2 linked regions of the Saccharomyces cerevisiae S288C genome follow. The gene in region 2 interacts genetically with the main gene of each other region. Each region holds a gene or a part of one and is shown on either strand. Other genes may lie near its edges.

Region 1 (4,164 bases), on a different chromosome or scaffold from region 2:
TCATTCTTTCGAACTTTGAATATTTTTTATGACGTCAATTATAAGAAGTATGAAAGTCAGGTTAGCAACAGCTAAAACTAAATAATAAAGGGCTCAAGCAGGCTTACGGCAGGTGGTGATTATATTTACACTACTAATTTTTTTTAATTCGTTTACGCTCTAGTAAAAGTTCTTCGCAACATTTTTTTTTATATTTCTTTATAAAAACTACGGGAAATGACAGGTGCGAATAATCTCATTGATTTTTGTATTGTCAAGCCCATTTAAGACTATAATATTGCTGAAATAAACGTAACAAACGTATGGATATTCACTTAGTTAGAAAAGAAAAATAAAATAAAACTAATTCGAACTTTTTGTTGTTTTTTATTTCAGACAACAATATTATACTGTTACACGCCATTATTGATTACTACTTACATTAACAGTGATTATTTCAAAGAGAATTCTAGTTCAGGAAAGAGCTTAACACTATATTTGTATCGCTAGTACTCTCCAGCTCAATATCCAATTACACGACGGAGCCATGATTGTTGTTTGATTTTGAGCTTCTCTTTCTCTCGTTCTTCTGCGGAAAGACTTTGCTTCTTGTTTACAGTAAAGCCACGCAAGAAAAAACAGAGAACAGCATTGAAAGCCGCAAACGAAATGGACACAATTATCAATAAGCGTTGAATCTTCGAATAGGATTCTATCATCTGAACACGAACCTCTGATCCAATAGGGTATTTTTTTAGATAATTGAGTGGTGATTTGTAGATTGCCATCCCTAAACTAGAGCCGAGTCGCTGTATCAACTCCTTTGCCAGACGCTGAGTCCATATAGCACCAGCGATGGAAGCACCTACTGCGTCTCCGATTTGATAAACGGACATTAGTAACCCAGTGACAGTTGCCATCTCATTGTGGGTGGTTGAAGCGTGCACTAGCGTCCACATAGGAAAACGTATCATACCACCAGCTATACCGACCACAATCTCAGCGCCAATAAGACCCGAAATCCCGTCATATACCACCCTGTATTTGTACAAAAGACCCATTCCGATGACACCAAGAAGCGACCCAGCGACTACAAAGACTTTCGGATGAGGATAGAAATGCAGCATAATGCCGACAACAATATTAGTGCATGACTGTAGAAAATTGTAAAGCTGAGCTATCCGCTGCGCACTTAATGTTGATTCTCCGAATGCTACCATTAACACGGTGACCAAATACTCTAACTCAATCTGCAAACCTAGACGCCATACAAATTCCATTAGCAATGCAACGTAGATGGTTGGATCACCTAGATATACTCGTGGGATAAATGGATTCTTAGCAAATTTTAATTCCCAAATTAGAAAGATAAAACCTAAGCAGCCACCAACCACAATCATTGCAATAATGTGACCCTCTCTCCATTTGGAGGTGGCTCCACCAGCTATTGTGAGAGGTAATAATACTAAAACTAAGAAAGCAGTGAAAAGAATGACTCCAATTAAGTTTATGTCATCCGCAAATTTCCAGAGCGTTTGACGCAGGGTCTGTCCTTTTTCTTTCAATTTTAATGGTGGTAACTTACCGCTGCGCCAGGAAATGTACTGAGCATACACATAGGGAAGGACCAATATTAGGGTGGAGATGGGCACAATGATGCAAAAAATTCCATAGCCCCAACGCCATTTATATGGTGCAACATTACCAGCAACTGAGCTAACAATATTTCCACTTACCCATGTGTTTATAATCACGGGAATCAGAAATATGTTCATCGCAAATGTACGATCTCTCAATCCAGACAGATCACCAGTCAGTGCTGTAGCAAGAAGACGAAATCCAGAATAACCGAACTGTTGTATAACAATACCTGCAAAAAGTCCGGAAAACGTTGGAGTAGCAGCAGAAATAATTTCTCCAATAGTATAGAGCACAAGCGCAAAAATCCAGCATTCTATACGTCCAAACCGATCAGATATACGTGCGTATGGCACTGCGACAACAGAGGCTACTATTGATTTGACGGTATTGATCGATCCTACTTGAGAATGCTTTCCAAAACTGTTAGCGGCATAGGTTTGTATTGATTGCGAAATCTGCCCTCCGAGTCCAGTACAGTAACCCTGCAAAAACAGAGCCACCAGTAGGGCGGTCTTGAGTGAACTAAACGTAACTCCAAAAGCTGTGAAAGAGCTGTAGTCAGACAAGACCTTGTTGACAGCGTCTATACGGCGCAAGCCAGACGTGGTAGACTTCTCAACATTGCTATCTGTCTTTTCGCTGTAGCAGACAGTGCTTTTATCGTCTAAATTGTCATTCCTAGAGTGATCAGTTTCCAGCATTTTCAGAGAGACATTCACGAGCACTTTTTTGCTATATTAGAGTTCTGCTAGGACCCAAACCATCATTTCAATTAAATAAGTCATCTCTATTATCCAAACATAGACCCTTCGCCACTCAAAAGCCACAGAGGGGTGCAATTGTAAGCCGTGGCAGCCTCTATAATAGTATACATTTGTATCACATTTGGGTGCAATAATTTAAACAGATTTTTGCAGTTGACTCAGGACTAAGGGCAATTCTTGCCCAAACTACGGAACCCTGTTTCTGATCCGAAGGGCTTATAATCCATAGAAACCCTTACATTTGCTCACTGAAAACCCTGTGTCCTTATTTGGTATATATGATGCGAGGATTAAACGAAAACGGAAAATTTTAGGTTTGAGGGTCCCATTAGTTCAACTAAAAAAGAAAAACGAAAAAAAAAAAAAACAAAGTCAAACCATAAAAAGTTTTGAACTACAGAAAATGTAGGCTTGTCTATTCTCCTGAATTTGACTTTTTTTTTTTCTAACTTTTTCACACCCCTTCATTAACTAATTAAAACTGTCGTAGAATTTCCCTTCATTTTTATTCAGCCATCCTCAGTTAGGAACGATTGATACAGCCTTCATTCGTCATTTCGTGACTTGCATGTTGGATTGGAAAATTTGCTGGCGGAGCAAAGTCAAGACGTTCAGAGGGAATAGTAAATGAGATTGTACGAACCGGTGAATATATTTTGCTGGCTAGATTTTAAATGGCCATTGTGTTATTGCTCTATCAACATAAAAGAAAGTATATGTGTTTTCAGAATCGTAAAATTTGTGACAAACTAAAAATCAGTATCTTCATAAAAGTAGTAGAGACATTTCATAGGTACGTTCCGCCCTTAGATAAATGTGGCTGCAGTTCATAATGCAGTGTGTAGTAGAGATGATTCTGTTGATCATAAACAATAATATATAATTTCACTAGTACTTGTTCTTATATGCACATAACTCGCCGTATTATCTGGCCAAATGAGCTATAGAGTAACCCTTCTCTCAGCATTATTATAATACAATACCAATGCAAGGACATATGGAAAATGCTACACAAAACTATACTTTAGTGTATTACATAACTCATACCGCACTACCAGATATATGTCGTTACTATTTAAAGTGCGGTATGTAACATAGATAAAAATAAGTATATGTATATGTATAAAAATCTTGTCGTCACAATCATCAATCATTCAGATATGTAAATTCTGCCCTCCCATGGCTTCAATGTTCTGGAAGACGCATCAACTTCGCTTCTTGGGTAGTTTCCGAATTCCAACTTAAACGACGAGCTATTGTTTGGAATCGTGAAGTCAATCGAATCAGAGCTGAAGTTCAAAGCAGCAAACAATGTTTTGTTGTCGTATTTCTTTGTGAAGCTGAACAGTTTCTTATTGTCCAAATCAATAAACTCAAAATCATATCCATATACAGTAATATCCTTGTGTGCCTTTCTAAATCTCAAGGCCTCCTTCCAGAAGTTCAAAACCGAGTTGGGATCCTTGGATTCGTCTTCAGCGTTAATTCCTTCCCTGAAAGACTCGTTCAAGTAAAACCATGGTTTAGCATTAGGACCAGAAAAACCAGCATTTGGCTCCTCACGAGACCATTGCATAGGTGTTCTAGCATGGTCTCTGGAAATAAGGGCAATTGCTTCCAAAAACCTCTTCATCTCCTTCGAGTTTTCTCCATGCTCTTCCTTGATCGCATCATAGTTATTTCTAACTTCGACATCCTCGTATTTTTCGATAGGCCAGTTCTTGAAATTGATTTCACCCAGTTCCTGTCCTTGGTACACATATAGAGTACCGCTCAGTGA
Region 2 (5,837 bases):
GTGCAAGAATCTGGAACTTTATGGGCAAAAGGGTCACAACGTAGGAGATGGTGGTATTGACAGCAGAAAGACAGCAAAGAAAGAGAGAAATTGACAAAAATAACGATATCTGTTTTGTTAACGAATCGAGATCGTGCTGGTAATTGAACCTGAAAAACGAAAAATCCAAAATATTTGCTATCGTAATGGCTAAAGGATCGGATGCTGCATTTTCACTAAAATTTTCATAATCGTAGTCATCTGGATATTTGAGCGAGTGGTATATGATATAGGGGATTCTTTTCAGGAAAGTTATTATTAGTTTATGAAGACAGTATATGATAAACCCGACTTCAAAAGCTTTCTTAAAAGTGCGTACCTGAGGGGACTGTTGTAATAATGCTTCCAATTTCCCAAGCTCCAGTTGATACCAGGCGATTTTTTCCATCAACTCTGCTTTAAAAGTTGAGTTTTCTCCGACCTCTTCTTCTAAACTTCTTAATATTTGTACATTTTGTTCAATGTTGTGTTCATAATCTTGGATTTTTTCCTCTATATAGGCGTCTGTTGTCCATAAGAGAGATTTACTGTTATTGTTGCTGTTGTTGATGTTTCTAAAACTGGGGTCTGACATTGGTGTATTACGAAACTTGTGCCAGATGACTAAAAAGTTGTAGTATAAACTAGAAACAGTGGCTAACCCAGATAGGGAAGCCATGACTGTGACGCCTCCGATGGACAATCTAGTTAGAATATTTTTTGTGTACTGGAACGGTCCAATATTTATGTAACTTAACAGCGCAATAAGTGTGGACAAGATTATGCATGTCACTATTATCAACCTATCGATATCGAACTTGTCATTGTAGAATTTATTCAGTAACGATATTATAATGAAAAAGGGCTGAAATAAAATTAGTATGAAGGATAGCATGATTGCAGTCAGAGGCCACACCCAAGTCGTTATGAAAGTAACTTCCTTGTCCATTCCAGCAACCTTAATCTGCCATAGAATAATCTCTATGGTTACTGTATACGTCATCATTGCTAATGAAAAAAGGACTCGCAGTGATTGCAGTACCTTATGTGAGGGTAAAGAATACTCTGTGTAGAATTTATTTATGAAATTACCCATACTAGACACATCCTCATTCGAGCCAACTTCCATTTTGCTTGCCAACGGAATGACATTTTTCTTCGAGGAAGTTGATATAATGTCAAACAAAGACCCTACTTTAAACCAGAGCCTTTCATAGGAGCATTTGTAAGCAAATGCTCCGGATACGGAAAGCACTATAAATACGATAAGTGCCTCCATCCCGTCCACCACTTAGTCTACACTCAATAGTCCTTTCTAGTGCAGGTCCTGGAGGCAACCGCCAGAGTTGAGATCTTTTCCTTTTCTTTCCCTGCTGGTCAATTTTTATTGTTCAGGACTCGGTCATCGCAGATATCGCAATTTTTCACTCGTTTGAGTCTAGACTGTAAAATAAAACCGAATGGTTAAGCTAAAATAGACTCTGTATGACTAAGTCGTTCACTAAAGTTCATTATTTCATGCCTGAATGACCTTTATCTTAATTATGCACCATCATATAGCGTTTCTATGATCACTACGGGATATTATGATATTGTTAGGGGGTTATATTGAATATTTCTTAGGGCATGAGGATGATATTAGGGTTATTAATAGGTTTACAATTATATAATTTATGTGATAATTATCACTTGATACGAATTGATGGAGCCTGCTTCTTTTTTTTTTTTTCACTTTCTTGGCAGTCACTGAAAAACTGCATTCGAATACAGGTTTGAGAAACTAATGAGGCCCATATTACTTTACAATGAACAGTAACAATCAACTTAAATGCTTAAATAATCTAATATTGTATCTGCATTGATAATACATTGGACAGAAATTATGGACGTATGTTTGATTTATCTTACTGTGGCCAGATCGGCCTTTCAGTACTTCTAAGGTTTTATACTAACTTCTTTTATTGATCGTTGTAAACTACGGTAACAATTATGTATCAACAGGATGGACGGAAAAAAGAATTGCATGATTTGAACACCCGAGCTTGGAATGGCGAAGAAGTCTTTCCCCTGAAAAGTAAAAAACTGGATTCCAGTATAAAGAGAAACACTGGCTTTATAAAAAAACTAAAGAAGGGTTTTGTGAAAGGTTCAGAATCTTCATTATTGAAAGATTTAAGTGAGGCGTCCTTGGAAAAGTACCTATCAGAGATAATAGTGACGGTAACAGAATGTCTGCTAAATGTTTTGAATAAAAATGATGACGTAATTGCCGCTGTTGAGATCATAAGTGGACTTCATCAAAGGTTCAATGGCCGATTTACTAGTCCGCTTTTAGGAGCTTTTTTACAAGCTTTTGAGAACCCCTCTGTTGACATTGAATCCGAAAGAGATGAGCTTCAAAGGATAACCAGAGTTAAAGGTAATCTTCGGGTATTTACCGAGCTTTATTTAGTTGGAGTTTTTAGAACATTGGATGATATTGAGTCGAAAGATGCTATTCCAAACTTCCTACAGAAGAAAACTGGGCGAAAGGATCCGTTGTTATTCAGTATTCTCAGAGAGATTCTTAATTATAAGTTCAAATTGGGCTTTACTACCACTATTGCGACCGCATTTATTAAGAAATTTGCACCTTTGTTTCGCGACGATGATAATTCTTGGGATGATTTAATATATGACTCGAAGTTAAAAGGTGCGTTACAGTCTCTGTTTAAGAATTTTATAGACGCCACTTTTGCGAGGGCCACAGAACTGCATAAGAAGGTCAATAAACTGCAAAGAGAACATCAGAAATGCCAAATAAGAACGGGAAAATTGAGAGATGAGTACGTAGAGGAGTACGACAAGTTACTTCCAATATTCATTAGGTTCAAGACATCTGCAATTACTTTGGGAGAATTTTTTAAGTTAGAAATTCCGGAGCTTGAAGGTGCCTCTAATGATGATCTGAAAGAAACAGCTTCTCCAATGATCACGAATCAGATATTGCCACCCAACCAACGATTATGGGAAAATGAAGATACAAGGAAATTTTATGAAATCTTACCAGATATCTCAAAAACAGTAGAAGAATCACAATCTTCTAAAACAGAAAAAGATTCAAACGTTAACTCAAAAAATATCAATCTATTCTTTACGGATTTGGAAATGGCAGATTGTAAAGATATAATCGATGACCTTTCAAATAGATATTGGTCATCATATTTGGACAACAAAGCCACAAGAAATCGAATATTGAAATTTTTCATGGAAACACAAGATTGGAGCAAACTGCCAGTGTATTCCAGATTTATTGCAACAAATAGCAAATATATGCCGGAAATTGTTTCTGAGTTTATTAACTACCTAGACAATGGCTTCAGGAGTCAATTACATTCTAATAAGATTAACGTTAAAAACATCATCTTCTTCAGTGAAATGATTAAATTTCAATTAATACCATCGTTTATGATTTTTCATAAGATTAGAACATTAATCATGTATATGCAAGTTCCAAATAACGTAGAAATTTTGACGGTTTTGTTGGAGCACTCAGGGAAATTTCTGCTAAATAAGCCAGAATATAAGGAATTAATGGAAAAAATGGTCCAACTAATCAAGGATAAAAAAAATGATAGGCAATTGAACATGAACATGAAAAGCGCCTTAGAAAACATAATTACTTTACTTTATCCCCCTTCTGTAAAATCATTAAATGTTACGGTAAAAACAATAACGCCTGAACAACAGTTTTATCGCATATTAATTAGAAGTGAACTAAGTAGCCTAGACTTCAAACACATTGTCAAGTTGGTTCGGAAAGCTCACTGGGACGATGTAGCTATTCAGAAAGTGCTGTTTTCTCTGTTTTCAAAACCACATAAGATTAGCTATCAAAATATTCCCTTATTAACAAAAGTTCTAGGCGGTCTATACAGTTACCGCCGCGATTTCGTCATCAGATGTATAGACCAAGTACTGGAAAACATTGAGCGAGGCTTAGAAATTAACGATTATGGACAAAACATGCATAGAATATCAAATGTCAGATACTTAACTGAAATATTCAACTTTGAAATGATAAAATCCGATGTTTTGTTAGATACTATCTACCACATTATTCGGTTTGGTCATATCAACAATCAACCCAATCCATTTTATTTAAACTACTCAGATCCACCGGATAATTATTTCAGGATTCAACTAGTCACTACAATTCTGTTAAATATCAACAGGACCCCTGCAGCTTTTACTAAGAAATGCAAACTTTTGCTGAGGTTTTTCGAGTATTATACTTTTATTAAAGAACAACCTTTACCCAAGGAAACAGAATTCAGAGTTTCAAGCACATTTAAAAAATATGAGAATATTTTCGGAAACACTAAATTTGAAAGGTCAGAAAATTTGGTAGAAAGTGCCTCAAGGTTGGAAAGTTTACTGAAATCATTAAACGCAATAAAAAGTAAAGACGACAGAGTGAAGGGATCTTCTGCAAGCATTCACAACGGTAAGGAGAGTGCTGTTCCTATCGAGTCAATCACCGAAGATGATGAGGATGAAGATGATGAAAACGACGATGGTGTCGATTTACTAGGAGAAGATGAAGACGCGGAGATAAGTACACCGAACACAGAGTCAGCGCCAGGAAAACATCAGGCAAAGCAAGACGAAAGTGAAGATGAAGACGATGAGGACGATGACGAGGATGATGACGATGACGATGACGATGATGATGATGATGGAGAAGAAGGCGATGAGGATGATGATGAAGATGATGATGATGAGGATGATGATGATGAAGAAGAAGAAGACAGCGACTCTGATTTGGAGTATGGTGGTGATCTTGACGCAGACAGAGATATTGAAATGAAACGAATGTATGAAGAGTACGAGAGAAAACTAAAGGATGAGGAAGAAAGGAAAGCGGAAGAAGAATTGGAAAGGCAATTTCAGAAAATGATGCAAGAATCCATAGACGCAAGGAAAAGCGAAAAGGTTGTTGCCAGTAAAATTCCAGTAATTTCGAAGCCAGTCAGCGTTCAAAAACCTTTATTATTAAAAAAGAGTGAAGAACCTTCTTCAAGCAAGGAGACCTACGAAGAGTTATCCAAGCCAAAGAAGATTGCATTTACGTTCTTGACTAAAAGCGGTAAGAAGACACAATCAAGAATTTTACAATTACCAACGGATGTGAAATTTGTCTCTGATGTCCTTGAAGAAGAAGAGAAACTAAAAACCGAGCGAAACAAGATTAAAAAGATTGTTTTAAAACGTTCTTTCGACTGAGATTCTTTTGCGAATATAGTTCTTTAAATTTTTACTATATATGCCCACTTATGTTTGGCTCTATTAAATGGCTACGTGTTTATATAGTACCGTTTATGACGCTGTATTTTTATTTACACTGCTTTCCAGGAGATTAAAGAGCGGAGTGTTAGTCAACTCTCACGACAACAACAGTTATATCGTCTTCTTTACCACCGCTGTAGTTTTTGCCAGTTAGCTTAGAAATCTCTTGCGCAAAAACACTGGGGTAATTGGGGTCCTTGCTTAAACTGACAACATTGTCCACAAACTTCTGGGATAATAGCTGTAACTCATCGTTTGTTCTCGCAGCGTTATCCTTCAGAAAAAGCTCAATATCATCTGTGGCAATATTATCGGTTACACCATCGGTAGCCAATATAATAATATCCTTTTTTTTCAATTGGAAGCTATATTCATCAGCGTCTCTGGGGGTGTTTAAAATATACTTGCTACCCCTTCTTTCGGCCTCTTTCAACATTTCTTCTGGAATGATTGACAATTGGTAAGGAGCATTAAATCCAACAGTTTGAAAC

Evidence for each region. A genetic interaction does not mean that the proteins touch.
Region 1: mutations in NMD2 (region 2) and ENB1 together harm fitness more than expected from each alone (negative genetic interaction), as found in Saccharomyces cerevisiae (2 studies listed by BioGRID).

What each region holds. Positions count from the first base shown.
Region 1 is NC_001147.6:18,991-23,154, forward strand, and holds ENB1 (Enb1p), read right to left. Parts: upstream 2,322-4,164; coding exon 501-2,321; downstream 1-500. Other genes in the region: oligo-1,6-glucosidase IMA2, read right to left, coding at 3,535-4,164.
Region 2 is NC_001140.6:251,820-257,656, reverse strand, and holds NMD2 (Nmd2p), read left to right. Parts: upstream 1-1,900; coding exon 1,901-1,906; intron 1,907-2,019; coding exon 2,020-5,283; downstream 5,284-5,837. Other genes in the region: YHR078W (uncharacterized protein), read right to left, coding at 1-1,297; type 2C protein phosphatase PTC7, read right to left, coding at 5,432-5,837. UniProt on the Saccharomyces cerevisiae protein: Involved in nonsense-mediated decay of mRNAs containing premature stop codons. It interacts, via its C-terminus, with NAM7/UPF1.